Linked DNA regions of Tribolium castaneum. The protein of the gene in region 7 purifies or fractionates together with the protein of the main gene of each other region. This does not show direct contact. Links are inferred from orthologs where the notes say so. Each region holds a gene or a part of one and is shown on either strand. Other genes may lie near its edges. The genes, in order: Polr2B, nop5, Max, protein SHQ1 homolog, MrgBP, Nop60B and rept.

Region 1 (3,966 bases), on a different chromosome or scaffold from region 7:
AGAACACGCGGTGTGTGGCCGGGGGCTACATCTGGAACCCCTATTTCACCCAACTGGCCGACCCCCTCAATGTATATTTTGCTTTTTTTTTAATTTTATAATATAATGTTCTGGTTTCAGGGTGATCTTTATCGGCAAGAGTGCGGGCCTGAGAACCCGCTCAGGTGCCACGTGGGGGACCTGTCGGCCCGTTTGGGGACCATCGACATCGGGCTCCAGCGCAAAGTCTTCACCGATGCGAATTTCCCGCTCGAAGGCGACGTCACGGCAATCGGGCGCTCCATCGTCATCATGAGCCCCAACAGACGTCCCGAACGTTACGCCTGTGCCAATATCGAGCCCGACTATGACATAATCAAGTACGCAAACATCGAAAAGCCCCCACGTTTTGTCCTGTCGCAGTTTATCGAAGAAGTGCGCGAAATTCTGGGAATCCCCGACTGGTTTTTGACCGTAGATTCGCGCAAAACCAAGTCTTTGCACAGCGACGCTTGCGTCCAGCTTTTGCTGCATTTTAAAGGACCGCTAGCTAACCGATTAGAGCAGGATTTCAGCCGATTGCTGGCAAGTGGGCGTTTAGACACCCCCACATTGTACATTCCAGGGTTTATTAATACGAAACGTAAGGTGAAAATTGCGTACAAGCAGTGTGGAGTACAAGACCCCAACGAGAAGAGTAAGTTTATGGATTAGGCGACAAAAAATGAGTGTATTTTGCAGGTAAAAAACGGACCGGATTTTTCTTTGCACGCTCAGGAAGCAACCCAGCCAAATTTGCTCACAGTCTGATTGTAGTGATAGTTTTAAGCTATTTATTGTAATGATATGACTGTTCCTAATAAAAAAGTAATATATTACCATGGAGTTTGAAATTTAGCGCCAATAATGAAGTCACGTGGTGCAATCCACAAAAAATCAAAAACGCAATATAATTAAAAAATTGGACTTGTTACCACTTACCTGACCTTTAAGTCACATTACAGATAATTATTAAATATTTTTTTGGTCGAATAGTGTAATTTAACATCGTATCTTGAAAATCTGGAGACTTTTTTGTTGTATGGTTACGTAACACTTCAAGGTCATTGCAGGAAAATAAAAAATTGGGCCGTATTTAACAAGTTTTTTATTTGTTTTCCAAAGTATTGTGTTTGGGGCTACCCCCCGAACATAAAATATTAATTTATTTCACAAAATAAGGGTTTTCTTGGGGTCCCCATACAAAGTCAACTGACACTTGACAGACGCTCAAAACTTGTGTTTTGTGCGTCTCATTTGTGCCCCATTTTTTGCAAATAATCAGCAATGTATGAACAAGACGAAGGTACGCAATCCCCCTTGAGTAGCCCCCGAGCCATTTGTAACAAAAACCGGCTTTTCAGACCAATTCGACGATGAAGAGTCTGAAGAAATCAGCTCCGAGTTGTGGCAAGAGGCCTGCTGGATCGTCATCAACGCCTATTTCGACGAAAAAGGCCTCGTCCGGCAACAACTGGACAGTTTCGACGAGTTTATCCAAATGTCGGTGCAACGAATCGTCGAAGACTCGCCCCAAATCGACCTCCAAGCCGAGGCACAGCACACAAGCGGCGAGCTTGAAAACCCCTCTCGGTATTTACTGAAATTCGAGCAGATCTACCTATCCAAACCGACCCATTGGGAGAAAGACGGCGCCCCCTCGCCCATGATGCCCAACGAGGCCCGCTTGCGCAACCTGACCTACTCGGCCCCCTTGTACGTCGATATCACCAAGACCATAGTCAAGGACGGCGAGGACCCCATTGAGACCCAGCACCAGAAAACCTTCATCGGGAAAATCCCGATTATGCTCCGATCCACGTACTGTCTCCTCAACGGTCTAACCGACCGCGACTTGACCGAACTCAACGAGTGCCCCCTTGACCCCGGCGGCTACTTCATCATCAACGGCTCAGAGAAAGTCCTAATCGCCCAGGAGAAAATGGCCACGAACACCGTCTACGTCTTCTCGATGAAAGACGGGAAATACGCCTTCAAATCCGAAATCCGCTCCTGTCTCGAGCACAGCTCGCGCCCCACGTCCACCCTCTGGGTCAACATGATGGCACGTGGGGGCCAGGCGATCAAAAAGGCCGCCATCGGGCAACGAATCATCGCGATCTTGCCCTACATCAAGCAGGAGATCCCCATCATGATCGTGTTCCGGGCCTTGGGGTTCGTGGCCGATCGGGACATCCTCGAGCACATTATTTACGACTTCGAAGACCCCGAGATGATGGAAATGGTGAAACCGTCCCTGGACGAAGCGTTCGTGATCCAGGAACAGAACATCGCACTCAACTTCATTGGGACCAGGGGGGCCCGGCCGGGCGTCACCAAAGAAAAGCGTATCAAATACGCGCGAGAGATCCTCCAGAAGGAGATGCTGCCCCACGTTGGAGTGTCCGATTTTTGCGAGACGAAAAAAGCCTACTTTTTGGGGTACATGGTGCACCGGTTGCTCCTGGCGGCTTTGGGGCGCCGCGAGCTGGACGATCGGGATCACTACGGTAACAAACGACTGGACTTGGCGGGGCCCCTGCTTGCGTTTTTGTTCCGTGGGTTGTTTAAAAACTTGATGAAGGAAGTACGGATGTATGCCCAGAAATTTATTGATCGGGGCAAAGACTTTAACCTCGACTTGGCCATTAAGACTAAGTTGATTACGGACGGGTTGAGGTATTCTCTGGCGACTGGTAACTGGGGGGACCAGAAGAAGGCCCACCAGGCCAGAGCCGGTGTCTCGCAGGTGTTGAACCGTTTGACTTTTGCCTCGACTTTGTCGCACTTGAGACGTGTTAATTCGCCCATTGGACGTGACGGGAAGTTGGCGAAGCCCCGACAGTTGCACAACACGCTCTGGGGGATGATTTGTCCGGCGGAGACACCAGAAGGGGCGGCTGTTGGTCTGGTGAAAAATCTGGCCCTCATGGCGTATATTTCGGTGGGGTCGCAACCCTCTCCAATTTTGGAGTTTTTGGAGGAGTGGTCGATGGAGAATTTGGAGGAGATTGCGCCGTCTGCCATAGCCAACGCGACCAAGATTTTTGTTAATGGTTGCTGGGTGGGAATTCACAGGGACCCCGAACAGTTGATGGCGACGTTACGCAAGTTGAGGAGACAGATGGATATTATTGTGTCGGAGGTTTCCATGATTCGGGATATTCGGGACCGGGAGATTCGCATTTACACGGATGCTGGACGGATTTGTCGGCCGTTACTAATCGTGGAAAATGGGACTTTATTGTTGAAGAAGCGCCACATTGATATGTTGAAAGAGAGGGAATATAATAACTACGGGTGGCAGGTTTTGGTGGCTTCAGGGGTTGTCGAATATATCGATACTTTGGAAGAGGAGACTGTGATGATTGCGATGTCTCCGGACGATTTGAGACAGGAGAAGGAATACGCGTATTGTACCACTTACACACATTGTGAGATCCATCCAGCTATGATTTTGGGTGTTTGTGCCAGTATTATACCCTTCCCGGATCACAACCAGAGTCCCAGAAACACATATCAAGTATTTGTTTTGGTGTTGTTTGAATTTTTTTAGTAATTAATTTTTTCCTCAGAGTGCTATGGGCAAGCAAGCCATGGGTGTGTACATCACCAACTTCCATGTCCGCATGGACACCCTTGCCCACGTCCTGTATTACCCCCACAAACCGTTGGTTACAACCAGATCAATGGAATATCTCAGATTCAGGGAATTACCGGCTGGGATTAACAGCATCGTGGCCATTGCGTGTTACACCGGTTATAACCAGGAGGATTCGGTTATTTTGAACGCGTCGGCCGTCGAAAGGGGATTTTTCCGGTGAGTATTAAAAAAAAGTAATATAGTAGAAATAAAATAATTTGTTATTTTGTGCTTTAGATCTGTGTTTTACCGCTCGTACAAGGACGCCGAATCGAAACGCATCGGCGACCAAGAGGAGCAGTTCG
Region 2 (4,500 bases), on a different chromosome or scaffold from region 7:
TGGATTATTGTGTTACCATATTTTCATATTTTTCTAAAACTTGCATACAGCAAGCAATTATTTTGTTATCTTGATTTGCACCTACACTTTCCTGTTCATTAGCTTCCATTAGTGTCTGCCCTGAAAAAATAATTGCTATTACTTTTGTCACTGCTTCCTTATCCAATGAAAAAAGTACCGTGAATTTTTTGTTTACTAGAGCGACTCATGTTAAAGAATAAAAATAAAGTTCAATGGTCATAATAAAAAAATGCAAACACTTCTACGTGAAACATTGTTTCAGTATACCTTTCATTCTATTATGTTTACTACTCATAGTTTTTTCTATTAACTTGATGGCATCTTGAGCTTTCTGTCTGAGGCTACGTTTGTTTGAATCGCCCTTTATAAAGTCTAACTCTTCTGTAACAATCCAGGGAATGAAAATGACTGGCTCCCTGGGTCCTATAACAAGTGTGATAAATATTTATCCATTGTTACACATTTCTTTACCTTTAACAGCTAATGTAACAATGTTAGCAATTATATTCAGCTCTGATAAGAATATATTCGTGTCAACCACAATATAAAACTGACAAGAACTCGTAATTTGTGAATTTAAAGTATTATCACTTGTGCTTTTGGACTCCTCAATATCAGTCTAAAAAGACAATTAACTAGAATATTAAACTGAATAATTAAATCAAGAGAGTATACAGGACACCATTCCATATCCTCTTCTGAAACAACTGCTGTCTGTTGAAAGCCAACAGCAAATGGATTTGGAGATTCAGTGGTAAACACATTCGTTTGTGTTAGAAACTCTTCTTTAAAAATGAAAGGAGTTCCAGGTTCACTGTTCGAACATTCCCCTGAACTCGAGGCACTTTCCTTAATAAACAGTTTTGTAGACACTTCATGTTGCACTGAATCAGTTGGTCGTTTCCGCACACAATTCTTGTCTTTAAATTTTGGTACAGATTGAGCAGATTTTGAAACTTCTTCATTTAAGCTAGTCCTAAGCCTCTTTAACCTTTCATTAGCTATGTTCTTTTTCGGCGTAACACTAATGGTACGTTTCGTTCCATGTTTTAAATGACTATCCTCTTGAACAATTTTTTCCGGAAAAATTTTAGGATTCCTCTCATTTTTTCGTTTGGCTACGAGGACTTTTCGTTTGTCTGACATTTTAATTTTTAGCAAAAAAAACTTCTTTTAATTCATTTTCAAATAACAATTTTCTGTTTTCTCGCAAATCAGCTGACAACAACAACAAAACGCCATCTTAACTTGATCACGTGATATGTACAATGCACCCGAATTCGACCTGTTGTTAAGATCGACTTAACCGAATGTAGGTGAAACTGAAACTTTTTTACAAGTAACCAGTTAACGCCAGTTACTAATTACAACTCCCACACATACTAAAAAGAACTTGGGTTTTTGTAAACTGGTGTCAAATAATCTTAAATCTGCTTTATTTAGATTTACATTGGAAAGGCACGTGGGGGAAAGAACCAAGAGTTGGTAATTCTTGGGGAATTCGTGCGAGTCGACAATCTCGCCGACGCGCTAGACCTCATGGTTTCTAATTGTTGCCGGTTTTTATCGTTAATATTAAAAATTGGTGGGTTTTCATATAAATTGTTGTAATACAAAGTGAAAAATGTTGGTCTTATTTGAGACAGCGGCAGGTTACGCGCTGTTTAAGGTAATTCTGCAGTAAAGTTGTTGACAAACTTAACCTCAAATTTTCCATGCTTTCAGCTTCTGGATGAAAGCAAATTAAAAGAAGTTAACAATTTGTACCATGAATTTGATTCACCCGAGTCGGCAGGAAAAATGTACGACCTGTCCTAGTTTCAAAATGCAAACTTATTAGTAAAATTGTTTTAGTGTGAAGCTGAAACATTTCGAGAAGTTCAATGATACCACTGAAGCCCTGGCTGCCACGACTGCAGCCGTCGAGGGCAAAGTCTCGAAAAGCTTGAAGAAGGTGCTGAAGAAGCACATCGACCAAGAATTGCAGGACAAGCTGCTTGTGGCCGACGCCAAGTTAGGGTCTGCCATTAAAGAGAAGTTCAATTTACAATGCGTTTCGAATACAGCTGTCCAGGAGCTGATGCGGTGCATTCGGTCGCAATTGGACAGTTTGATAACGGGGTTACCTAAGAAGGAAATGACCGCGATGGCGTTAGGTTTAGCTCATTCCTTATCACGGTACAAGTTAAAATTCTCGCCTGATAAAATTGATACAATGATAGTCCAAGCGGTTTCGTTGCTTGATGACCTCGATAAAGAACTCAACAACTACATAATGAGGTGCCGCGAATGGTACGGTTGGCACTTTCCCGAGCTTGGGAAAATAATCACTGATAACGTTGCGTTCGTCAAAACTGTTAAAATCATCGGAACGCGTGATAACACCGCCAGTTCTGACCTCTCCGACATTCTCCCCGAAGAAATTGAGGAGAAAGTCAAGGAGGCAGCTGAAATATCAATGGGTACTGAGATATCCGACGACGATATTTTAAACATTCAGAACTTGTGCGACCAAGTTGTAGAAATTTCCAATTATCGCACCCAGTTGTACGACTATTTGAAGGCCCGTATGATGGCGATGGCCCCAAACCTGACAACGTTGGTTGGGGATTTGGTGGGCGCTCGTTTGATTTCGCACGCTGGGTCTTTGATAAACTTGGCCAAACATCCGGCCTCCACGGTGCAGATTTTGGGGGCTGAGAAGGCGCTATTCCGAGCCCTCAAGACCAAGAAAGACACCCCGAAGTACGGGTTGATCTACCACGCCCAGTTAGTGGGGCAAAGTAGCACCAAAAACAAGGGGAAAATGTCTCGAATGTTGGCGGCTAAAGCAGCCCTCGCAACTCGAGTCGATGCTCTAGGCGAAGACGGGAATTTCACGCTTGGGGCGGAGCACAAAGCCAAGTTGGAAGCACGTCTTAGAATTTTGGAAGAGGGGAATTTGAGGAGAATTAGCGGGACGGCGAAAGCCAAGGCCAAGTTTGAGAAATATCAAGGGGTTTCGGAAGTTCAGCAGTATCCTGCTGCTGCCGACTCGACGTTACCTTCGACTTCGAAGAGGAAGAGGTCAGAGTCGGAGCAAGTGAAGGAGGAGTTGAACACGACTCAGGAGACTCCCAAGCAGAAGAAGAAAAAGGTCAAGACGGATGAGACCAATGACAGTATCAAGGAGGAGGATGAGGACAGTGGTGAGGGCCAGAAGAAGAAAAAGAAGAAGAAGAAGGCGAAAGAGGAAGCGGAGGAAGAGGTGGAAGCGGAAGTTAAGGAAGAACCTGAGGTGACGCCTGGGAAGAAAAAGAAGAAGAAGAAGTCCGAGAGCGAAGCTCCGCCTGAAGTTGTTGAAGAGCCAACAAGTGGAAAAAAGAAAAAGAAGAAGAAGAGCATTTCCAAGGAAGATGAATAATTTAGCGGAAGGTTTTTTATTTTTTACAATAATAGACATTCTTATTATTAAGGTGCTGTTATACAACAGCGGTGTAATTTGCTTTGCAATAGACTAAAAACAAACAATAAGAAATTGATTTACCACGTTTTCCCACTCACCGATAAATTCAGACACGGGGTCGTTCTCCCCATCTCCTCTCATTGTTCCCGTAATTTCGTCATTTTCAACCATTGGCATAAATAAGTGGACGAATTCGGAGCTATAAGGGGGCCCGATGGTCTCCAAAACCTACAAAAATTGCATTTTCCGGTCATTTTTAACAAAGTAACTTACTTCCGTTACAAAGTAACGAATCAGGGATATGTCCGTGTCGCCTTTTTGCCAACACTGTTTTATGTACTTTACAACGGGTACCACACATCCAGCACATAGCAAATTTACCATTCTGTCAAGGACCATTTTGCGCATTTCAAGCTAACAAAAAAAAAACTGAAAAATATCGTAAAAAAATTGATAACTTACTTGGACTAAAATTTCCAGTTCGTCTTGCTTGGATTCAAACAACCTGATTAGTAAGTCGAGTACTTGATTATGGAGAAGAGGGTGACAAGTAACTACTTCATCCAAGAGCGCCAAATGAATTGGAGTGTGTTCTGTTGACAATTTAAAGTAACTTGCTTCGGTAACAGTGCACTCAACCCAACGGATAATTCCAACAGAAACGACTGGATACCTAAAAAAATAAATATAAGTTTCTTAGTTGACAATGTTTTTGATAATGGTGATTTACCGACATTTTATTTACAAAATTTATTCAGTTTTTATTAAAATATCATCTTAGAAACTTACCTGAGACACTGATACAGCGTTGCAAGTTCTGCCATTAGCTCTGAACTCCCTTTATTGGTATTACAAATATTGTGGACCGTTTCAATTGAATGAATAGTCGCTTGAAGTTCATCTTTATTGACCACTCTTTTTTGCCCTTTTTTGGCTTGCATTTCATAGACACTTGCTGCATAAGCTAACAAATGGATATATTTGGGCTTGTGGTCGGGGTTGAGTTTTACTCCAGGTTTAAACAAGGCATCAAT
Region 3 (4,727 bases), on a different chromosome or scaffold from region 7:
AAAATTTGCGCTTCGTCTCGTATTTTTCAAGACGCTACGAATATGGTTCAAGATACAAGAAAAATGTTAGGAAGAAATTTGCAGAGAATTAAACTTTTATTAAAAGTCTGCGAGATCATATCTCTATAGTCAACGGTTTAGGCCCCAAAGACGTTCAAAGACCCTAACCGACGCTTTCATTTTATTTTACCGGTGGTTAAGTAAAGTTATTTATACCTAAACTGTAGAAGATAAAAATATGGTATCGCGGACTTTTTTATAGGAAATTTAATTCTCTACAACTTTTGTTCCTTACACTTTTTTTGTATCTTCATTTGTATTCCCAGCGTTTTGATAAATATACAACGGTCCGCAAAAAATTATCGCTTAGAATAATTATTTTGCGTTTCACCTTATATTTTTGCATTGTTTCCGTCTTACTATTGACAATTAAATGCACAATCTGCTTTTATTTTTTGTTTGCTCTGTGTTAACAGTTATACAAATACAACCATTTTTTCAAATTCATTGCTCTGAAAACTTATGGGGGACGAGAACGTTTTATTTGTACGTCGTTTCATATCCTAAGCTTTAGATATCCGTTATTTTAGTTACACATTTGTTGTGCTATAAGTGCTATAACTAAAGATATCTTCTTTTTGTAGCATGCCTATTTTAGAAAGAGAAAAGAAAGAAAACGTATGTACTAATCAATTCTAGATACTTGCATGGATTTGACTAACGATTTCGATGTTTTGTTGTGTGAATCGTAATATTTTTATTTTTTCAGTCTATGAAACCCGTCGTACAAGCTTACGTCGAGAACGGTATGCAGCAAATGGCTGCCGAAGTAGCTGAAAGAACTGTCCTAAATGCAACTAATATCACAACCAACGGCAAGAAACAGGCGTGATAACATTCCCCCGTCTGTTACAATAGCACCCTAAAAGCATCGTTACATATTAACGCGTTAATCGTCACGTGATTTGGATTGTTGTGGATTTTGTCTTGCCATATATTGTGGAACATAGTATGTAACTTTGCTGATTATGTGATATCTTGGCAATGTTGGTATTATTGTAATTTATTTGTACATAACGCTTCTAAAAATAATACAATTTTATCTATTACGTAACCATTTTATTGTACACTGTTATGTAAAGTTTGCAAAATTTATTACATGTTCCATTGGTCAATCAGTTTCTCCGTTTAACTAGAGTAGTAATCGTGAACAGTACTGACATTGCAATATAATTCACCACCCAAGTGCCTTTTATTAACCCAATAATTGTTTTTACTGTTTGTCTTGTGATTTCGTATTGTGGTGTCCAAGTCTCCAGTACACTAATGATAAAAACGCATTTTTATTGTTACTAGTGAATAGATAAGACAAACTGAATTGAATGTTACTATTTCCAAATCAAATTTTATAACAATAAATATTATTTTTTTTAGACTGTTACGAACCATGTTATAATTTATTCAGCTAGATATGAACAATTTTTTTAGCTAACTGCTCAATTTATTTTTATTTTTTATTGTAGTTTAATTGAACTGTATTTGGTTTCGGTTATGAATAAATTTATTATTTTTATTTGAATTTTTTCTCCGCCCTTTTTTTGGTTCGCGTCTGGGCTAAATCACGTGCGCAACAGAACACGTGTAACCCCAACAAGTTGCACGCCTCAGTCGGTAATTGACGTTTGTTTTCTCAGCTAGGGTCGGTGCAAAATTGGGTACAAATAAAACGTCAGAAAGCTTATCTAAATCACACTTTTCGGGAAAAGTGCCCCAGAATCGCTAATAGAGTTCGGTGCTTGACGGTTTAGCGCCCCGTTTTGTGGAAAGTCGCCCCTATTTTGGAATTTTGTGACAAAGAACTGGACTTTCGAGTGGTTCTAGTTGGCCAAGTATGACAGGTCACGCACATTGTGCGACTCACGTCTAGTTTGCTCGTGTTGTGACATTTTGGGAAAAGTACAAGTCGATGGTTGTGTATTACACCTGAAATAAGCCGTTTTCACCTCAGGACTCTGTACTTCTTACAATGAGCGATGACGATCGGGATATTGACGTCGAAAGCGATGTGAGTAGTGTTGTTTATACACAAAACACCACATGGATCAATATTAACATTGATTCATTATGTACCCCCCTATTTCAGGAAGGTGACGATTCGGATTCCCGGCAGCCAACCCCCAGCAGACAATCCACTGGAAGCCAGTATTACTCACAGGTAAATTAATTGGCCACCAGTTCAGGGACGAATTTTCGTACTTTCTAATTATTTCGTTTCGTTTTTTGCACCTCAATATTCTTGATTTTTTGGTTTGTCTTCATTTATCGCAATGGAAATAAACACTGCTTTCCACGTAATTTTGTAATTATGCAACATCTCGAAATGAATTTACAATAAACAACTGCTGTTAGTTTTTTTATGGAAAAATTAGCTGTTGGTTATTATTTTGCAAGCTTCCGTTATTTAAGCACAATTTAATCATTTTAAAGAAGAAAGTCTTTATAAAATTTACTGTAGCTTTGAGCAACTGTATTATGCTTATTTTTTAATTATTTTTGCAATCGCAAAATCATTGTCCGTAAGGATTACTTTTGCATATAGAATATTTTTTAAATACAAAGCTGCAAAAACGTTCTTGAAGCTTAAAATCTTTACATTGTTTTATTTATTATCGCTAGATGTTTTGCACTTTTAAAATCACTAATTTAAATTTTCAGTAATCTTTTCTCTTCTGAGAATTTATGTAAATACAAATACATACAAATAATAGTACTAATAACGAAATCGTTCTTTTTTTCTTCGCCGTGTTATATTGTTTTGTAGTAAATTGACTACTATGCATTTAAATGACCTTAACGATAATTATTAGTCAAAGAATAAAAAAAATAACACTGTAGAGACTAGAACTGCTGAATTAAAATTTTGTGTCAACGTTGTGAGTCATATTAATATTTGCAATTAAACATTTGGTGACGAGGTTTGGCGGCAAAGAATAAAAGCTGCTTGATTTTTTTTCAAATTTGTCAATACATTGATAAGTTGATAACAGAAGTTTGTAGTTTCGAACGAAATAAATTCTTTTACGAGCCAGTTTGCAGAAAGCGGAATTAAAATTTAATTTAGAATTAAACTACATGATTCGAATTAAGTTGCCATTTATTTTGCATTATTAACCAACGTCACGTTAAATGAAAATATATTTTTTTATTGAAAAATGTAGCTGCTATAGAAAGTCAGCATTTTTTTGTTTGGAAATTATAATTTCCGCATAATGCGTGTAGTTTGACAAATCTTTGATGTCAAACGCAAAAAAACGTTTGAGTTGTAAGTAACTACATAAGCGTAAATACGTCGGAACTATTTAATAACAATTTGTTTTGAATAAATGCATTTTAAAAAATCAGAAAATAAAAATATTAATTTTTATAAATCATTTAAAATAGTATTGTTTTACATAAAGCCATGTTTAAAATAAAGAAAACTTATTTCACACGAAAATTATGTGCCTTAATTTAATTTTGCAAAACAGTTTATAAAAAAAATACAATGATAATAATTTGTCTTTTGACAATTTCATCTTATTGGTGCATAATTGTCTTTAAGAAATGGTTTTTGTTAAATTGTTTACTATTTGAAAAACTAAACATGTATCACAAAGGGGGGTGATGCCATTTACAATTTTGAAGAGGTTGGTGCTACAACTTTTAAAATTATAATAAAAGGTGTTCCTCTTCGTTTTGTGCCTATTTCAATTTTCCTAGTGTCATAGTCATTGCTGAGTTATTGCATTATGTAATTTATTTGGTCAGACACACAATTTAACCAGTAAAAAAAAATAAGGGTCTGCTTTGGTGTTTATTTGGTTGTATGCTGTTTAGGCTGAGAAGCGGGCGCACCACAACGCGCTGGAAAGGAAACGGCGAGACCACATAAAAGACAGTTTTAGCAGTTTGCGAGACTCTGTTCCTGCTCTCAACGGCGAAAAAGTGGTACGTCTGTCCGATTTTTCACGTTTGCTGAACGATTACTCGTAAGACAGATATCGTGGCAATTGTATCTTTGCTTTTTAGGCCAGTCGAGCGCAAATTTTGAAGAAAGCTGCAGAATATATAGTATTCATGAGGAAAAAGAACCATTCCCATCAGCAGGATATTGAAGATCTCAAGAGGCAAAACAGTCTTCTGGAAGCGCAGAGTAATACATTTTCTCAGACTTGTTTAAAATATTTTTTTAATAGTTGCAGTTACAGTTCGTACCTTGGAAAAGGCCAAAAGCACGGGTTCTTTTGGAGGGGAATCTTCCGACGGTAAAGATTCAAATTACAATGAAACCGAATCGGATACTTCAGACTTGGAAGGGTCTGTTCAACCCAGAAGGCCAAAGAAACAAAAAATTGGATCTTACCACTAGCAGAAGTTGAGCTGATGGTAATTGAAACTCGTTTCGTTTTTACTTTAACACTTCATGTTTAACGTAGTTAGGCAGACTAAAGAAGAAACGAGATTTGAAAACTTGACTCTTCTTAATGCGGTGAAACCGTCCGCATATTTTTGTCAGTACAATTCAGTAGTTTGTAACAATTAGTGAAGACAAAGTGGATCTTCAGTCATCTCTAAATGTCAAAATAACAATGTTTTATTAAGTTTTTTTACAGTTGTTTTTTTGAACCAACTACATTTTACGGATTAAAGAGCTATTGTGTATAAAAATATAAATATTTGTAGTTTAT
Region 4 (3,912 bases), on a different chromosome or scaffold from region 7:
TATTTAACTTCGATTAGGCCGATTTTTTTTTCGATGTTATAATCATTTATTACTTTATTGATTTGAAAAAAAAATGAATTTTTTGTGGTTTTATAGCGCGACCTGGTTACCTCCAAATCGAGCTAGCACCTGTTTGTAACTCAGGTTTGAGATTGAGATTGCGAATTGTAGTTCTATTGTTTGCAACTTAACAAAACAACTAAAAAATGCATCAAATTAGTTTTTTAACCCGAATAATATGTAACAGATTATAGTGGAATGAATAATTTATGTGTTGACTTTCACAATTGTTTTATTATGTCAATACATAGTTTCCATATATTGTCCCAGGAAACGCTATTTGTGGCAACTTGACGTCATAATCATTACGCTCGATTGTTTTTAGCACCATTCATTTAATTATTATATCAAGGACGTATAAATTATGGAAACTATAAATTATTTTCGTTGTTTTCATTTGTATTTTTTCAGTATCAGCCGACGAAAACTCATTGGGAAATGTAGTGTTACTGACGCGCGAAAAAGTCTTAGAAATAATTGAATCGTCTTATCCGAACCCTATCACAATCCAAGACATTGCAAAGTAAGTCATTGGCTTGATTTTTACAATTAAAAACAAATCAACAAAACAAAAATAGGGAAAATGGTTGGGATGAGGAGGAAGTGGCCCATCACATTGCCGATTTACAATCAAGCAACATTGTCAAAGCCATGGAACATGGCGCTTTTACCCGCCAACAGTCCCACGATACTCAAGTAATTATCGTGAAACAAATGCCGACGATGGTCAGCTCCAAACAACCGACAATCGCCATAATCACAGCCCAGTACTGTGAGAAATTGGCCGTGGATGCGATGATTGAAAACAAGGAGACTTTCGTGAGATATACAACAGTAGGTGAGTCACTAATTTATTGACAATAGAATTAATCAGATTCGGTTGAACTATCGTCACTCGAAGTATCACTAAAGTCGTCCGAATCATCATCTCTGATTTGCAAATTGTTCAAGTCCAAATTACGACAAACGTCGTCTTCGATTTCTTGGAGATTCAATCCAAGGTCACTCTTCTCGATCGTCACTTGTTTAATTTCTTCAACGACTTCTCTCCACTTCGTCCTGTCCCACTTCATGATGTAAATGATATAATCCTTAATGAACAAATTGTTAAGAATGTAACGGCAACAATCGCCAGTCAAAAAAATGTGGTACATTTCAATCAAACACTTGATTATATATTTTTCGCCCAAATCGAGTAGTTTCCTCAAATCGGTTAAAACGGTTCGGTTAAGTTCGAAATTCCGGTAAAGCGGGTAAATGACACTCCGCCGGAATGCACTAACTAGGGCATCCTTAGGCGTTTGGAAAACATCAAGCCAGCAAAACGTCGCGGCTAACTTGACAATGGTCCAACCCGACTCAGAGGTGCCCTCAAATTGGGTCGTCCGTCGGTCGTAACAATACGCGTATAAAATATCAACGAGACAACAGTGGCAATAATTGACTTGTGTCTCGCTCAAGTTGTACGTTTTGTTCGGTAAATCCTTAAGGAAGTCCAGTTCCTGGTCGCTGAACTGAACATCATCCGACTTTAACTTGTCCCAAGGCGCTTCCAGCGCGATCAGTTCCAAAATTTCCTCGTTTTCGATGTAGTCGCTCAAGTAGTGATCGATATTGAACTTGCCTTGCTCGAACTGCACCCGCATTTTGTGCCTTTGCCCCAAATTGACTTCGCGAGGGTCGACCTCAAACACGTCCTTGAATTCGGCCGAGACATGGTTGAAGTTTTCCTTGCCGCAGAGTGCGAACCCAAACTCTTCGTTCAGCTCGTCCGGGGATTTGATTCCCTCATTGGCCACGATAGTAATTTTGCGGTTGTCTTCGGTGACTTCGACTTTGGGGGTCAATAGTTTCGTTATCAGGTCCAAATCGGGGAAATGTTCCCCGTCGATTGCCTTCTTTATCGTGAAACTGAACTGTCCCGAGTCCGAATCGAACGAACTCTCGCTGAAATTGTCCTCGACGAGGCGCCCGGGCAGGTGTAAGCGCAGGTAATAGGGGCTGGTGTAGAAAATGAAGATGTCGTCGTCGACGGTCACCTCCAACTCGCCTAAATTACAGTACGGGGCTCGGATTTGTATTGTGACGGTTGATTCGGTTTGTGTTAGCTTAAATCGCGGCGTTATCATCGTGAAAACACACACTAAGTTTGGTTTGTGAGGTTAGGTGTGTTTGACAGTTGACATGTAACAGCGCCAATTTTAAACAGCAATTTTATTGAACAGGTCCCAGTAGCCCCACGGGTGACAAACCGAGGGCCCGCTTCGGTAAGATAATTGCAAGTTCTGGGGGAATCACTTGTGATGTCACCATTTTGTGTTTGTACATAGATCACGAAAATCACTTGTGAATGTTGCATTTGTATGCAAAATGCTTTCCACTGTTCACTAACACTGTAATTATCACGGGGTGTTTGCCATTGTCTTGGCGCACTTGTAACTGTGTGATTTTCCAGGGGAATCCAATGTTTACACTTTGGGGAACATTGGGGCCCACCGTATTGTGTGCACGAAATTGCCCTCAGTGGGCCATACTCGGGAAGCAATGACCGCTGCTGGTAACACAACCACGAGACTTTTGGGGACGTTCCAGAAGGTAGATTATGTGTTTTTGGTCGGTGTGGGTGGGGGAGTCCCCCATTACACCGACTATAACAAGCATGTCCGGTTAGGAGACGTCGTGATTTCGCATCCCGTCGATAATAAGTGAGTCATTTGATGCGAAAAATGACTGGCATTAATTGATAACTTTAGGGACGTGTACGTTTATTGCGAGACGGCCAAAGTCAGCGATAAGGGTTACGATTTTGAGGTCAAACACTACCGCCCCAATAACTTCATTTTGCAAGACATTTCCTCACAGTTAAAGTCGTCCGATTCGGGTGATAATGGGACGGTTTCACCGTGGGCCAAATATCTCAAGGATGGTTTAAATATTCTCAGTTCGCAAATCGAGACCGATTTTAACCCCCCGAGTGTGGAAACCGACAAACTGTACATGACTATCGGTGAAAGGGACTTGATCGAAGTGGCCCATCCTGTGCCACAGGACAAAAACATTAAAAGGTTTGTATTGTGTTAACTGAACTTATCAATTACGTGAATTTAATTGTGTGAATTAGTTATAAAAAGCCGGAAATTCGGAGAAAACCGGTGATTACGCCGAGAAAAACACTCTCGAGTCGAACTAGAACGATTAAGAGAAAAATTCTTAGGTGGGTGGTTGTAGAACCGCACCGTTTTGTAGTCACAGTATTTATTAAATCACAGTTAGTTGAGTAATTCCTCACTTCGTAATTAGTTCTACACGACTCACTTTTTCCTTGTTGTTTTGTGGTTTCGAATGTTTGCATTTTAGGCAGGAGGGTTGCCCTCGCATCCACTTATCCACCATAGCTTCAGGCCGTCTGATCGTCCGCGATGACCGCTTGAGACAGAAGTTTGCGTCTGAAATGGGGGCTTTGGCGTTCGATTGCGAATTTGACGCTGTTATAGAGTCGGTTCTTGGCAATTGCAAGGATAGTTTTATCATAATTCGGGGCATTTCTGATTATAAAGACGGTACTAGACGCAAAGAGTGGCAACCGTATGCGTCTCTAGCCGCTGCTAGTGTTATGAAGTCGATCATTTGCGGCCTAGAGCCACCAACTAACGTTTAGTTATGTAACTTAGGTACAAAGACTTGCATGGGACTAATTTTAGATCTGGATTTTTCGACAAACTTTACACTTATTTATTTTAGTTTCTTTCGGTAGGTGGTTAACGTTGTAATAGTCTATGAAGTTACCATTTTAGAATATTTAAGATTAAATTGTTGCTCTATGGTGAGTATAGTTAACGAATTTCATGAGAC
Region 5 (4,796 bases), on a different chromosome or scaffold from region 7:
TGTTAGTTTTTATTTATGTTTCTTCGATTTTGTGTGTTTGGCGAAAATCCCGTGCCAGCAGGTGTCAGCCGCCTCAGCTCCATCCACTCCAATTATCCTCAGCAGGAAGTCCCGTCCGGTGCCTCCTGCAGCAAGCCTTCTTCAAAATGGCTGGCACAAATCGCTAACAAGGCAATAAGCAGTATGTAATACAAGCCGCGATGGCTTTTTACGGCCGCGATTAGGTAAGAGTGCGATTTAATGTCTTGTATTAGAGTGTGTGACCTTCGCAGCTATGCAGGTACCTGCACTGCTTGTCTGCAAAGGTACAGCAGCAGGTGTGGCGTTTCCAGCGTTTGTTGTTTCAATTGCCACATCCTAGTCCCACTTACTTATTTTAACGGATTCCGAGAATGTCGCCGTTTCTTCTCCTCTTCCGTCAAGTGCTCGCAGACTCTCGACATTCGCATGTTTTCAACTTGTATAATATCAAAACAGTCATGGAATTGGTGACAACGACCAATCACGCGCTATTGCTTTTGCGCTTAGCCAATCGCACGTTTTTCTTCCTTTCTTACACTTTTTCGCACGACTGTACCAGTGCTGGGCTTAATTTATGCAATGGTACCGTTGCACGCCAATGTGCAAAAGTTCAAACTTGGGCATCCATAAGCAAGCTCAAATTTAAAAAAACTAATTAAAAATTAGCTCGTAACTTTATACACATCCAAATATAATCGCTGACAACGTATGCACCTCCCTAACACAGGTAGGTATTTGGCAAATACTTGAGATTAAGTTATCTGTTTTTGGCCATTTTGCACATTTTTGCCATTTTACTCAACAGAGGAGGAGATACACGATAAAATAAAAAAATAAGAAAAATTTGAAACAAAATAAATATAACAAAATACGTAAAAATAAATATCTGTTTAAGTTTTATAACTGACTGGCTTTTTTGACTTTTAATTTTTCTATGTCACGTCCTATTAAGCGACATCAAAGGTACGGTTTAATTTAAACCCAGCTTTAAACAATTTTAAGCTTCACGTAGTTCACTTGACACTCTATATGTATAATAAGTGTGTATTTCATCCAAAGTTTAGCTCCGCTTATTATAATTATTGACAAAAAATTGTTTTATTTCGGATTGTCATGAGAGAAGAAGAAAGTTAGATTTTTTGTTTTTTTTTGCGTGGAGAAACTCCAAAGTGCGCTGTCGTCTTCATTTACAGCCACTCAATAACACAATGGCAATTATTGACTTTACTGTACAATCCTCGGGCAAAATCGCAGCTTTCGCAAAAAATGTGCAATTTTAATAAGATTTGTGTTTTATCGCGAGATCCGTGTTGGATAAAAAGCAGAGAGGAATGCCCTGGAAAATGAGGGAAAGGCGCCGGATTGCGGCGATTTGGGCCTTAATGGCCTGTTTATTGTCATAACTGTGCGCATAATGGGGTACGATTTGAATTTTAATTGCACAAGTGACGTCAAGTCATTAGACAAGGGAAACCGTTTGCTGGCAAGGCTAAGAATTGAAATATTACAGTCACAGTCGGCTTGACTTGGTGAATTCCGACACAAAAAGACGCCTTACGGGACCTCACAGTCCTCAGAAATGCAACTTTTTCAACGGATAATAGATAATAAAAAAATCATAAATTTATTGCAAATAGGACAACGAACTTTGGTAAAACTGAATGTGGGAAAAAATTAATTATAAGGTGCCCATCCCTTTTTAATAACAAAGCAATCACAAACCTATAAATAGGTGAGTTAAGAGCCCCTCGAGCCAAACAGATGTGAGTTTGCTTACTTTTTAATAGTTATTTGTAGGAGCTGCAAAATGACTACAACTCCAATATTTACCGTAATGTAAATTACAGAATATTTCGCGTACAAACATCTGCTGTTGACTTTCATCGATAAAAACCATTTGAAACTAAGCATACAAAGCCACCCGGACCCTTCCGGGGCCAACAATTCGAATAGTAATGCGGCGAATTTACTGAATCGAAATTATTCCACTTCCATTTCCAAACAATCGATCGGGCATAATTATACGACACCGGGGGTCGCAGTGTCAACACGTCCATAATCACAAGTCACGGTTTATTGCCCTCTTTTCGCCCCCTTTCGGAAGTGAAGGTCCCGGGGCCCGTTTAATTGCAAAATAACCAAAAGCAGCGTTACATAAAAGCTGGAGCCTCCAGCGTTCACGAGTTCAGTCATTTTTGGCCGTTTTTTCCTCCATCTCTGTCTCGATCGATTCTTGAAGGCAAGGCTGAACAAGGCAACGCTGGATTATATACCGGTGTTGTAGAAGAGCCGCCTGACAAGATACCAGGCAATGACCGCAACCAGAACGTTGAACCGAAGACTCCATTTCACCGGAGCGGCTAATTCAGTTCCGGGATGTCTTGTTTATTTATTTGGGCCCCGAATCAACGCCGGGGACCGGACCCACATTGCTCACAATCATTCCAAGCACGGCCCACACCCGAAGCGAATTCCGAGCTCCACAAGTCCGGCTCTGTTCCCGTCTCGGACTTTTCAGGACGAAAAAACGTGATTTGAATCAAATTGCGCCAAAATTTGACAAGAGCACCACGCACACGGCGCCAAATTCCCCAAACCGGCAGTTTTAAATTGAAACTTTGGACAAACTCTTCAGTAAATCATTTACCAACATTGTAGCTCGTGTTTTTAATAACTATCGGTACTTTGACGAGCTCAAATTAAATTTTTTTTAAGGAAAAAGGAAAATACGGGATTCAGGGTCACAAACAAAAAAACGTGTGTCAAGACTTGAATGCATTTATTTTGCAAAAAAAAAATGTTGAAGTGTTCTAACAACATTCTAATGTAGTTGATAATACATCTGTGGCCTGTAAAACAATAATGACTAAAAGATTAATTAAAATTTCAAATTGACCGTGATGGCGGCAGTGGCGCCCTCAAACAGTCATTTGTCAATTGGCGTTTTAAATAATTTAATTCCGTTTTTAAATGATTAAGGGCCCCATGGACGAGATCGAGTGGAACGTGGCGCACGAGGGGCAGCTCCTGGAGGCCATGGTGGGGCACAAGCCCGTCGGTACGTCCCCCACGAACCTAACCTAAAAAACTGAAGCCCCCTTTCAGGCGTCAATAAGTACTTCCAAATGGCGTGCATCTGTGACAAGTTCGCTGATAGTTGCCAGAAGGAGATCAACTCGGACAAGGTGTGGGCCCACCTCGAGACAATGTACAATTTGGAAGCTTTGGATGAGAGTGAGTCGATTCCGTTCCCGAATAGTGAGAAAGAGTTCACACTTCCCGATTCCGACTTCGGTTCCCTCATTGTGAAGAAGGAAGAGGACAAGAAATTGGCGCAGAAAGGGCGCGAAACGCCCAAGTCGCTCAAGGAATTGCGAAAAGATGAAAAGACTCCTGTGAGGAGCAGTAAGGAGGTGCCAAGGCGTGATAGTAAAGACAGTAAGGACAAAACCCCAGTGAGTGCGAAAAAAGAAATCAAGAAAGAGGCTGAAAAGAGTAAAAGTAAAGGTAAGAGTAATAGTAGTACACCAAGGGAGGAAAACAAGGCAAAAGCGAAAAGTGACGACACACCAAAACTGACGAAGCGCCCTACTAGAGGCAGCTCTAAACCTGACGATTCCAGTTCGAGTGGTAAATCTAGTCCAATCACAGTCACACCACCAGTGACAAAAAGGCGACGCATTTAGTTTCTTTCTCACTTTATTAAAATTAATAAAAAGTGCCTCAATAAATTACGTAAAACACGATGCAACTCGGAGCAACATCACCTCTCAAGGCGGCAGAAAAACGCATGTTTCGATTCGCTTGTCTCGCGTAAATACTTATCATAAAAATTCAAAACGACTGCTTCCACCTTAAAACCGAACTTTTGGTACAAAAACAAGGCCGGGTTGTTGATGGACACGTGTAGTGTGATATCTTTGCCGAGACTTGTCTGAAATAATTAATTAACCAACTAGTTTAATAAAAATCGACTTTTCAATTACTTGGATTAAGTGATACAACATGAACTTTCCAATCCCGACGTTTCGCCATCCTGGCCGTGTAAAAATAAAAGAGACGTAATTTTCGGTGTATTTAACATTGGGGACGAGGAACGCAAACGCCACTATTAATTTTTTGTACAAAACTACGCAACTAAAATCCGGATATTGCAAACTTTCAGTTACTGCAACAAAAAATTAAATTGTGTTGTAACATTTCGGACACTTACGATCGATTCCTGGCCAAAAAAAGTTGTTGCAGAGACTGTTAATGGCAGGTATGTGCTCAGGTTGGACGTAGGTGTAGTCAATAGGGGCCCTTGGAGGTAGAACGTAATTTTGTGTTTTTTCGTTTGCTTTCATTTGTATCTCGGCCATTAGGCGTAGCCAGGATGGATAAGTTTCTGTATCTCTTCGTATGTAAGGTTTTAAATAAATGCTGCTGTAAGGTGAGAGAATTAGTTCTTTTCTGATACCACCCATCAACCTGACTCTCATTTCGCTTCCTTTCTGCCTAAACGCGTCTAAAATTATTTTTGGAGTAAATTCTTAAGCCCTGGGACTATGGGGGACCAAAATATTTGGTGGCATGACGAAAAATCGAGCAAATTTTAAGCGCAAAATAACCTTTTGGAATTGGTACTTGGGCAGATTTTTTTATTCAATTATGACCTTTCTTAACTTAACTTAATTTCTCAACTTTTTCAATAAATCAGAATCTTTACAATATTTACAAAAATCTCGTCTTGCCTCCTAGCTTTAGTCCTGCACACCTCTCACTTGACTTACTGC
Region 6 (3,273 bases), on a different chromosome or scaffold from region 7:
TATGTGGCAACATTGTCTAACAGTCATGATCGCAATAGAATTTGAGCAACAATAAAAATAAATTATTTTTGAAACGGTTTCCTAGGAAATAATTCCCAGTGTTGGCACATCTACACATTGTGATTTTTTGGATGAATTTTAATTTTTTTAAATTAAAAAAACTGCTAAAATCTGATAGTAAATTTAAAAATAATTATTCATCGTTTTGTTACGGAACGATTACCTGGTATGAAACATAAAAATATAAAAAAATAATGAAAACTAAAGAAGTTAACACAATAAGTTTGTAGCTCCAGATTTTTTAAAATATAACTTTGGGAATTTTTTCAACATTTTTCCCGTAATCTGTACTTGCTTCTCAATAACGTACCACTGAGTTGGTGCGCCAGTTTTTGAGCACCCTGTATAAGAATATTGTTAACGTCAATATTTGTTATAAACACTAGGCAACTACTTTTATTAATTTCTTTAAATGTGACAATTTTTTAACAATTTTTAGTACATGTTTATATCAAAAAACCTAGTCCTCCAGACTATGAAAAAAATATATAAAACAGAAAAGTAAAACCATTATCAATATTTTTTTGATTTCATTGTTTTATACTTACTTGAAAGATGGAGTATTATCGAAAAAAATAAAAAATGAACCATTACTCAAATACCAGTGTCATAAATATTACTAAAAATGTACCATTTCAAAAAAAATATAGAATTACCAAACTGGACACCCGGTATACCTACAAATTTCTTGCACTTGTACCACTACATCAAACTGGAAAAATCAAAGCCTGTACGATAAAATTGCATTTATTTTCGCTTAACACGACTGTGTTTATCTTAGAAAGAATTTAAACTTAATTCTATTAATGTAGTATTGTAGAGCTACAATATAAAAATGCAAAACAAAATAGTTCATTCCGCTTCCTCTTCCTCCCTATCTTTACTCTTATCCTTTTTCTTTTTCTTCTTTTTCTTTTTTTCCTCCTGTAAGAATAACAGTGCAATAGGTAATTTAATAATAATTGATTGTCTCATTTACCCCATTATCTTCAGCAGTTTCCTCTGACACTGCTGTCGCTTCTTCAACAGTGCTTTCCTCACCTTCGACCTTCTTCCGTTTCTTCTTCTTCTCTTTCGGACTCGCTGTATCGGACTGCATTGACGTGTCCGCTAATTTACGCTGAAAACAAACAATGAATTGCTCATAAAACGAAAAAACGTCTTACTTTTTTATCATCTTCATCGTCCTTGGTGTCCTCTTTCTTAACACTGGAAAAAAATTATTGAATTGTTTTTAAACTTTGCGCAAAATTAAAAACACTTACGAATAATCAACGTAACTATTTAGCCATTCTTTGGGCGTATTTTCGTTCGGTTTTCCGTATTTGTCGAGCTGTCCTTTTGCAATAAGAATTTTTTTCTGGCTTGTTCGTGGTCCCAAGCCCCATTTTCTTGGATAAGTGTCTCGTTCCATTATCACACGTTTGATTTTCGCGACAACTCCGTGGTCACAACTGGCTATTGTTGCAGTGGTCATCAGTGCAATCCCTAGTGCTATGGCTTCCCCTTTAGTGGTCACAATAACAATTTCTTCGTTAAGTTCAATATTGTCTTCATAGCGTAAAATACCCGGTAGCAAAATTTTAGCTCCATAGCAAACCGCGTTTACCTAAAATTATGCCATTTATTGTAGAAAAGTTTTGTTTGTTAATTGATAAGTTAGTGGGAAATTATGTATTACCGAGCTGTCTTTCATAATTATCCTTTTGTGTTTGACCAAAAGGCCTTCCAAAGGCCGAATCACTCGTCGCAGGTAATTCTCATCTTTGTGATTCTCGTAAAGCCATTGAGCGTCTAAAACATCATGCATTGTGGCCATTTGATCTTGTTCGCTCTGAATTCCCGAACGAACTCTTCGAAGTTCCAACATTTGGCCTCCAACGCCCAAAACCAAACCCAAATGAACACACATTGTACGAATGTAGGAACCAGCCTCGCAACTAACCCAAAACACGCCTAAAATAATGCATAATAATTAAACATTTTCAAAGTTTAAAAAAGACAGGACTAAAATTAGGCCCTTTAGGCATCCAAACTGTTCTAATTAACTGTTCTAATCAGTAATAAATTCGATTTTGATGAGTAAAAAATAATAAATGATCAGTGTATTTAATTAATTTTTGCACATTAATGAGTGGTTTAATATTTTGCACAGTAAAAAATTTAAATGAGAAGTAAACCATGCACAGTATCTATTTCAGTTTGCACAGTTTAAATAATAAACGCTCATTACCTAGCATCTATCATTTTTACTGTTTACTATTTATTAATTTTACTGTGCATTTATTATTTTTATTGTGCATTTATTATTTTTACTGTACATTTATTATTTTACTATACATTTCTTATTTTTACCATGCCTTTATCAATTTATCATTTTTTCTGAACAAAAATACTTGTTGTTTAAATAAAATACTCTGCATTTAATTTATACCCTTAAGTTAATGCAATTTGAAAAAAAATAGGGGAATTAGTATTTTAATTTTTGCTAAGCTGGGAAAAATTGAAGGTCAAACTTTCCACGAGAACATAAGAAAAAAAAATACAAAGTAGAAATAAATGTACACTTGGCATTATTTCTTTATTTATTTTATTTAGTATTTATTTTTCAAGAATTTTAGCACGTTTTAGGTGATTTCCTTGAAACATTTTGTGAAACTGTACGAAAACATACTAAATTATAAATCAAAAATGACGTTTTTGTCTTTTTAAGCGATTTTCAGATTGGTTTACGAACTTTTGGTAAAAACAAGCCAAAAACCAGAAAGTTTGATGAAACTGACAATCTTCTGCCTTCGTCAAAACATACTTTTTCGAATATTTTATCACGTTTTTGAGTTAAAACTTTCTGTTTTTTATTGTAAAATCTTGTCAAACTGTGTCAAAAATTCACTAAAATAGACGTGTTCTTCATTTCTGTGACAAGTTTGAGACCCAATGTCACAAGTATTTTACGAAATTATAAAGATAAGTTAAAAAGTACAAATTTCGAGCGAAATTCAGACAATGTTTGAGCTAAACACGTAACTGTTTCTCTAAATTTTGCCAAATGGCGTTATTTTTGTCTTTTTGAGACTTTTTTTGGGCGATCGTCAACTTCACCTTCACAAGTTTTATTAACTTTGTCAGGCAACTAAATTGGACCAAACAAAAAATGATAAATTTGCCTTTTTCGAACACGTTTCAGAGATAGACATAATTTATTTCATGAAA
Region 7 (4,927 bases):
CCGTTTAGGAGAAATCGGAAAAAGAAAAAAAGGTAAACAAAGCACACTATTATAATAAGAGAAATCAAAAATAAGCACAAATTAAGAAAGGAATAAAAGAATAAAGTACAATACAAAAAAAAAATGTTGTAGAAATGAATTTAATAAATAAATCGATACAAAATAACGAAAACGGGAAAAAGAATAAATAAAATATGGACGAAAAAATGTAATTAACAAATGATTATAATAGAAGAATAAAAGGTGAGCAAACAAAAAAATTAATAAAATATATGTTTAATAAAATTGGAAAATAAAAAAAAATCGTTGCAAACTCTTAGGAAAGAGAAAAGGCGAAATAAAAGATAAATGTGAACCAAAAAATTAAGTTAACAAAATTCAAAAGTGAGGTCAAATTATTACAAAAGAAAGAACAAAATAAAAAAATTATAAAATTTTCTTATTCCCTCTGTTTGTGGAGATTGAAAATAACTGAAAAATTGAATTTTTTTTACACTTTTATTGTTTATTCATAAAGTTGAAGTCGCTTTAACTCTTAAAGTTCATAACGTTACTTTAACATTATGAATAAACGGTAATTTTTTCGATTTTTTAATTATTCCCAATTTCCACGAATAAATCAACAAAGACAGACTAAAAAAATAAAATAAACATTGAAAAACGAAAATAATTTGGAAAATAAATTTGATAAAATAAATCAAAAATAAGTGAAATTAGGAAACGCCTACAAGAAACAAGAAATAAAATATAAAAAAATCCAAGAATTTAATACATAAATCGATACGAAATAACGAAAACCAAAATACGAAAAAATAATATGTAGACACAAAAACCTAATTAACAAATAACAAAAAAATGTATAGAAAATAAAGAGAAAATGTGTTAAATAAAAGTGGAAAATAAAACATAAATGTGAACCAAAAAAATAAGTTAAAAAAGCAAATGCCCATTTTTTTCAAGCTTTTAATTTTTTTTTCTCCATGAATAAATTAAAAAAGACAAAATAAAATTAAAAAATTAAAAAAAAACTGGTAAAACAAAACATAATATAGCGATCCCAAAAGTGACGGACCACTAATAAAAAACTTTCAGTTAAACTGTTAAACATAAAAATAAATTTAGTTTTTTCTTTAATTTTATATATTTTTTTTCAAAGTAAATAACCATCTTTTCTAATCTTGTCGGGTGTAATTTATTGTCAAACCTGCTAGTTTATTAAACGTTTTCATATTTATATTTGAAAATGAACTATAAAATTAAATTACCAACATATATTATAAAAAAACAAAATTAGTATAACAAAAAATTAAAATCGTCGCAAAACCAAAAAAATAAAATTACTTAAAAAATATGGTTCAAGTCCAAAGAATTACGGGAGAGTGAAAAACATCAATAATAAAATAAACGAAAAAAGAAATAACACAAAAAAGAAAAAAAACCTCTTGTAACAAATTAAAAAAATAAAAAAAATCAAGAGAAAGCAAAAAAAATGAAAAGAAAGCAAAAAAAAACAGAATAAGAAGCACACAAAAGTAAAAAAAATCCGTTGTAGAAAATCAACGAAATAGAAAAAGTAGATTCTTTCCATTTCGAAAATATTTTTTTATTAAAATAACCCTCAATATTGAATATTGAATATTGAAAAATTAGAGAATTCATCACTAAATTTTGCAAAATAAATTCCGAGACACACTGTTTTGTTTTTTTTCTTGTAAATCTTTGTTCCCGAAAAAAAAACACGGGGAAAAATTTTTTAAGCTTAACAAACGACTAAATTAGAAAAAAAAATATTTTTTAACAGATTTCTAAATCAATAAAAACTATAAATTCAAAGTTTCAGAAGTTAGTATATAGGCAACCAACAATACACCGACTATAGTATTTCAATTTTTTTTGACATTTTTATACCGGGTGACTACTGAAAAGCCATTAGCACTTTATACATTCGCTGTTAAGGCTAAATGATTCTTGATATTAATCATTTATTGTTAAATAATTTTATTTTTTGTGGTTTTGTAATTTATATATTTTGTAGAAAAAAATTTTTCGTTAAATAAATAAATAAATAAATAAAACGGATCTTGTCGTCAGTTTTGTGATAAATCTGAACTCTTAATTCATAAAACAAGCGCAGTATTGCCAAATAATTCCCCCATACAATTCATCACAGTCACCCGGTATTCCAGCACTTACTTGATCCGCACCCCGATACTCTTCCTAATCGCCTGCGTCAGCGCCTCCGTCTTGCTCATCTCCAGCGAGTAAATCTCCGAGCCTGCCATGCTCGTAAAGGGGGTGTCCTGCCCCAGGGCGGCGGCCAGAGCCGTCGCAATGGCCGTTTTCCCCGTCCCCGGTTGCCCCGCCAAAAGCACGGCCCGACCAGCAATCCGCCCCTCCCTCACCATCTTCAAGACAATCCCGATAGCCCTCCTGGCAGACACCTGCCCCACCATCCCTTGCGAGACATGCCGGGCCTCGAGACTCTCATCCAGACCCAGCCCCCGGATGTGGGAGTGGGCCCCAATGCGCTCCACGCGCGTGGTTTCACGCACTTCGGCGATTTTTGCAGCGGCGGCGCTCTGCGAAAGTGGGGTTAGGGTCAGCAAACGCCGCAAAAACGACACAAATGCGATAATGTTATCAGCAAAAGGGTGTTTTTAACGAGATAAGGGAGAATGGGGTACTTACAGCCATTGGGGTTGTGGTTTTTGCGGCTTTTTTGCGTTTTTATGCACAATTTTAAAGGAAATGCAAAAACAATGGAGGGACGCGGTACCAACGTAACTGCGAAAATCACCAGAAAAAGTGTACCCACTTCGTAATTTAATTAATTAAGCATAATTATTATATTAATTTTACTCGAAACACATAATTAAATTAAATAATTCGTCGGGAAAAAAGTTTTATGTGACAAAAACGTCCCAAACTTGAAATTTTTGTAATACCAACTGTGTAACTTCTGTATTAAAAATTGTTTTTTGTGGGCTTTTTTCATTAATAAATGATTGTTTTGTTAATACTTACAGCCATAGCACTGCCACAATTAACCCAAACTTTGAATTAATTAATTGAAATAATTGATCAAACACTGGGCCCTTCAAACAAAGTGCTGCCAACGTGCCGAAAACCGGCGCCAATTTCCATTCAAACAGTTTAAAACAATGTTAAACCAATAATTACGGGCGTTTTTGCCTCATTTGTGCCACATTAGCACAAAATTTCCGCTCCCTAATTGCCTATTGTTGCAATTAGGAAAATTATGTACGAATTACAAGGTTTTCAACTTTTCGACACTACAAATACTTTTCACTAACTCATTTTTAATAATAGTTTTCGACTTGATTCCGTAGAATAATGAGTGCGATTTTACTTGTGGTGCTTGTTTTTGGCTCAACTTTTGCCAAAACTTTGCGTAAGTCGTTTAATTGAATTAACCATTGATTTTAATTAATTAATTAATTAATTAAGCGCCCGAAATTATCAAATGTCGCAAATCGGATCCTAATTTAAACCAGTGTTTGGATAAATATGTTATGGAAGATGTGCGTAAGTTGGCCATGGGGAACAGGGATTTGGGGATTAGTCAGTTGGAGCCACTGCTTATACCGGAGGTGACCTTGGGCCAAGCGTCCAAGGACACGCTCCAGCAAGTTTACAAAAATGTGAAAATTCACGGCATCACCTCGGCTACGATCAAAAATTCGAAGTAACAATAAAATTAACAAAAAAAAAAAAAAAATTGAAAAAAAATTTTAGGGTTAATTTTACGCAAGGGAGTTGTTATTGGAGCTACGATAGCTTGACTCCCGTCGTGCGTATGGAAGCCGATTACAAAATCAACGGAAAGTTGCTCATTTTCACACTAAACGGTGAAGGGAAGTGTAATAACACGTTCTGTGAGTGAAGCACTCGGCTTCGCCTCGTGCCTAATTCTTTTTTTAGGGGATGTTGAAGGCGCCAATCACTTCAAATGTGAAAGGTACACCAAAAAAGGCAAGACTCACTTGAGAATGACCGAGCACGTGTTTAAATTCAACCCGAAAAAAGTGATTTTTTCCTATGATAACATAATCAACGGTAACGAACAGCTGAGCCAACAAATCATGAAAACAATCAACGAAAATTCCCTAACTGTTTATGCCGACTTTGGCGCCGCCATTGAGCAAGTGATGGCAACAGTGTGGTCGCAGAATATTAACGAAGTGTTTGCGAGGGTTCCCGAAGAAGAATTATTTTTACCATAGTCAATAGAAATATTTTATTTAAACTAGTGATATGACAGTCAACTTATTTTTTGTTCAATACAAATCAATAATTACGAAGCGTTTTTTTTCACTTAATAAGCCCCAAACCTCGGCAACTAATTGTAAATAGTGGGGGGTGGGGTGGGGATTAACTCCTCTCAAGGCTAGTCTCGGCTGAATTTTCTTTACTCTCCAATTGTTGCTTCCACATGGAGGCGTACACGCCTTCCTGGCCAATCAAGTGCTCGTGTCTGAAAAAATGGGTGGCAACACTGAAATTTACGAATGGCTGGCAATGGTGCCAACATATTGACATTCACTGACATATGCGTAAAAATAACAAAAAAAAATTTTTTTTAAGTTTGGCAACATATTATGTCAGTTCTACGGAGGACTATAAGTTAGGAGGCGAAACGAATATTTTCTGAACCTAAAGAAATAGTACGGCAGAGTAAAACTGAAGGCGTAGGAAATTTAATTCTCTACAACTTTGTTCCTTACATTTTTTTTGTATCTTTAACCGTATTCCCAGCGTTTTGATAAATATGCGACGGTGCGCAGAAAATTATCAATGTTCGTCCCAGCTTATATTTTTGCAAACGCTGCGAATACGGTTGAAGATACAAAAAAAGTGTAAGGAACAAAGTTGTGGAGAATTAAATTTCCTACAAAAAAGTCCGCGA

Evidence for each region.
Region 1: the proteins of rept (region 7) and Polr2B purify together in Homo sapiens (affinity purification with mass spectrometry; 3 studies listed by BioGRID and IntAct, with this or other methods). This does not show direct contact. The link is inferred for Tribolium castaneum from reciprocal best matches to the Homo sapiens genes RUVBL2 and POLR2B.
Region 2: the proteins of rept (region 7) and nop5 purify together in Homo sapiens (affinity purification with mass spectrometry; 5 studies listed by BioGRID and IntAct, with this or other methods). This does not show direct contact. The link is inferred for Tribolium castaneum from reciprocal best matches to the Homo sapiens genes RUVBL2 and NOP58.
Region 3: the proteins of rept (region 7) and Max purify together in Homo sapiens (affinity purification with mass spectrometry; 3 studies listed by BioGRID and IntAct, with this or other methods). This does not show direct contact. The link is inferred for Tribolium castaneum from reciprocal best matches to the Homo sapiens genes RUVBL2 and MAX.
Region 4: the proteins of rept (region 7) and protein SHQ1 homolog purify together in Homo sapiens (affinity purification with mass spectrometry; 4 studies listed by BioGRID and IntAct, with this or other methods). This does not show direct contact. The link is inferred for Tribolium castaneum from reciprocal best matches to the Homo sapiens genes RUVBL2 and SHQ1.
Region 5: the proteins of rept (region 7) and MrgBP purify together in Homo sapiens (co-immunoprecipitation; 5 studies listed by BioGRID and IntAct, counting the BioPlex papers as one, with this or other methods). This does not show direct contact. The link is inferred for Tribolium castaneum from reciprocal best matches to the Homo sapiens genes RUVBL2 and MRGBP.
Region 6: the proteins of rept (region 7) and Nop60B purify together in Homo sapiens (affinity purification with mass spectrometry; 5 studies listed by BioGRID and IntAct, counting the BioPlex papers as one, with this or other methods). This does not show direct contact. The link is inferred for Tribolium castaneum from reciprocal best matches to the Homo sapiens genes RUVBL2 and DKC1.

Annotation. Positions count from the first base shown.
Region 1 is NC_087395.1:24,234,855-24,238,820, reverse strand, and holds the start of Polr2B (DNA-directed RNA polymerase II subunit RPB2), read left to right. Parts: upstream 1-1,166; 5' UTR 1,167-1,305; coding exon 1,306-1,324; intron 1,325-1,382; coding exon 1,383-3,541; intron 3,542-3,593; coding exon 3,594-3,838; intron 3,839-3,898; coding exon 3,899-3,966. Other genes in the region: uncharacterized protein Rsod, read left to right, coding at 1-71, 121-676, 721-821. UniProt on the Homo sapiens protein: Catalytic core component of RNA polymerase II (Pol II), a DNA-dependent RNA polymerase which synthesizes mRNA precursors and many functional non-coding RNAs using the four ribonucleoside triphosphates as substrates.
Region 2 is NC_087394.1:30,826,613-30,831,112, forward strand, and holds nop5 (nucleolar protein 58), read left to right. Parts: upstream 1-1,478; 5' UTR 1,479-1,645; coding exon 1,646-1,690; intron 1,691-1,746; coding exon 1,747-1,823; intron 1,824-1,875; coding exon 1,876-3,424; 3' UTR 3,425-3,482; coding exon of another isoform or gene 3,483-3,517; 3' UTR 3,518-3,538; downstream 3,539-4,500. Other genes in the region: transcriptional protein SWT1, read right to left, coding at 17-120, 289-444, 493-640, 697-1,167; TH1 (negative elongation factor D), read right to left, coding at 3,483-3,517, 3,565-3,694, 3,740-3,880, 3,929-4,139, 4,256-4,500. UniProt on the Homo sapiens protein: Required for the biogenesis of box C/D snoRNAs such as U3, U8 and U14 snoRNAs. Part of the small subunit (SSU) processome, first precursor of the small eukaryotic ribosomal subunit.
Region 3 is NC_087396.1:13,930,397-13,935,123, forward strand, and holds the start of Max (protein max), read left to right. Parts: upstream 1-1,675; 5' UTR 1,676-2,026; coding exon 2,027-2,065; intron 2,066-2,143; coding exon 2,144-2,215; intron 2,216-3,876; coding exon 3,877-3,987; intron 3,988-4,068; coding exon 4,069-4,192; intron 4,193-4,235; coding exon 4,236-4,408; 3' UTR 4,409-4,425; exon of another isoform or gene 4,426-4,475; 3' UTR 4,476-4,727. Other genes in the region: atl (atlastin), read left to right, coding at 770-892. UniProt on the Homo sapiens protein: Transcription regulator. Forms a sequence-specific DNA-binding protein complex with MYC or MAD which recognizes the core sequence 5'-CAC[GA]TG-3'. The MYC:MAX complex is a transcriptional activator, whereas the MAD:MAX complex is a repressor.
Region 4 is NC_087397.1:6,231,727-6,235,638, reverse strand, and holds protein SHQ1 homolog, read right to left. Parts: upstream 2,256-3,912; 5' UTR 2,190-2,255; coding exon 927-2,189; 3' UTR 899-926; downstream 1-898. Other genes in the region: uncharacterized protein LOC657396, read left to right, coding at 97-144, 472-583, 639-898, 2,286-2,327, 2,516-2,765, 2,814-3,125, 3,182-3,274, 3,418-3,718. UniProt on the Homo sapiens protein: Required for the quantitative accumulation of H/ACA ribonucleoproteins (RNPs), including telomerase, probably through the stabilization of DKC1, from the time of its synthesis until its association with NOP10, NHP2, and NAF1 at the nascent H/ACA RNA.
Region 5 is NC_087396.1:22,638,260-22,643,055, reverse strand, and holds MrgBP (MRG/MORF4L-binding protein), read left to right. Parts: upstream 1-1,808; 5' UTR 1,809-2,991; coding exon 2,992-3,079; intron 3,080-3,126; coding exon 3,127-3,707; 3' UTR 3,708-3,784; coding exon of another isoform or gene 3,785-3,955; 3' UTR 3,956-4,007; coding exon of another isoform or gene 4,008-4,189; 3' UTR 4,190-4,234; downstream 4,235-4,796. Other genes in the region: Atac2 (cysteine-rich protein 2-binding protein), read right to left, coding at 3,785-3,955, 4,008-4,189, 4,235-4,528, 4,794-4,796.
Region 6 is NC_087394.1:7,770,956-7,774,228, reverse strand, and holds the end of Nop60B (H/ACA ribonucleoprotein complex subunit 4), read right to left. Parts: intron 2,017-3,273; coding exon 1,742-2,016; intron 1,670-1,741; coding exon 1,326-1,669; intron 1,270-1,325; coding exon 1,227-1,269; intron 1,181-1,226; coding exon 1,040-1,180; intron 985-1,039; coding exon 913-984; 3' UTR 792-912; downstream 1-791.
Region 7 is NC_087401.1:15,889,743-15,894,669, reverse strand, and holds the start of rept (ruvB-like 2), read right to left. Parts: upstream 3,103-4,927; 5' UTR 3,031-3,102; coding exon 3,025-3,030; intron 2,848-3,024; exon of another isoform or gene 2,695-2,847; coding exon of another isoform or gene 2,689-2,694; intron 2,580-2,688; coding exon 2,194-2,579; intron 1-2,193. Other genes in the region: uncharacterized protein LOC663271, read left to right, coding at 3,355-3,412, 3,469-3,706, 3,757-3,896, 3,943-4,244; Hmt-1 (ATP-binding cassette sub-family B member 6), read right to left, coding at 4,393-4,495. UniProt on the Homo sapiens protein: Possesses single-stranded DNA-stimulated ATPase and ATP-dependent DNA helicase (5' to 3') activity; hexamerization is thought to be critical for ATP hydrolysis and adjacent subunits in the ring-like structure contribute to the ATPase activity.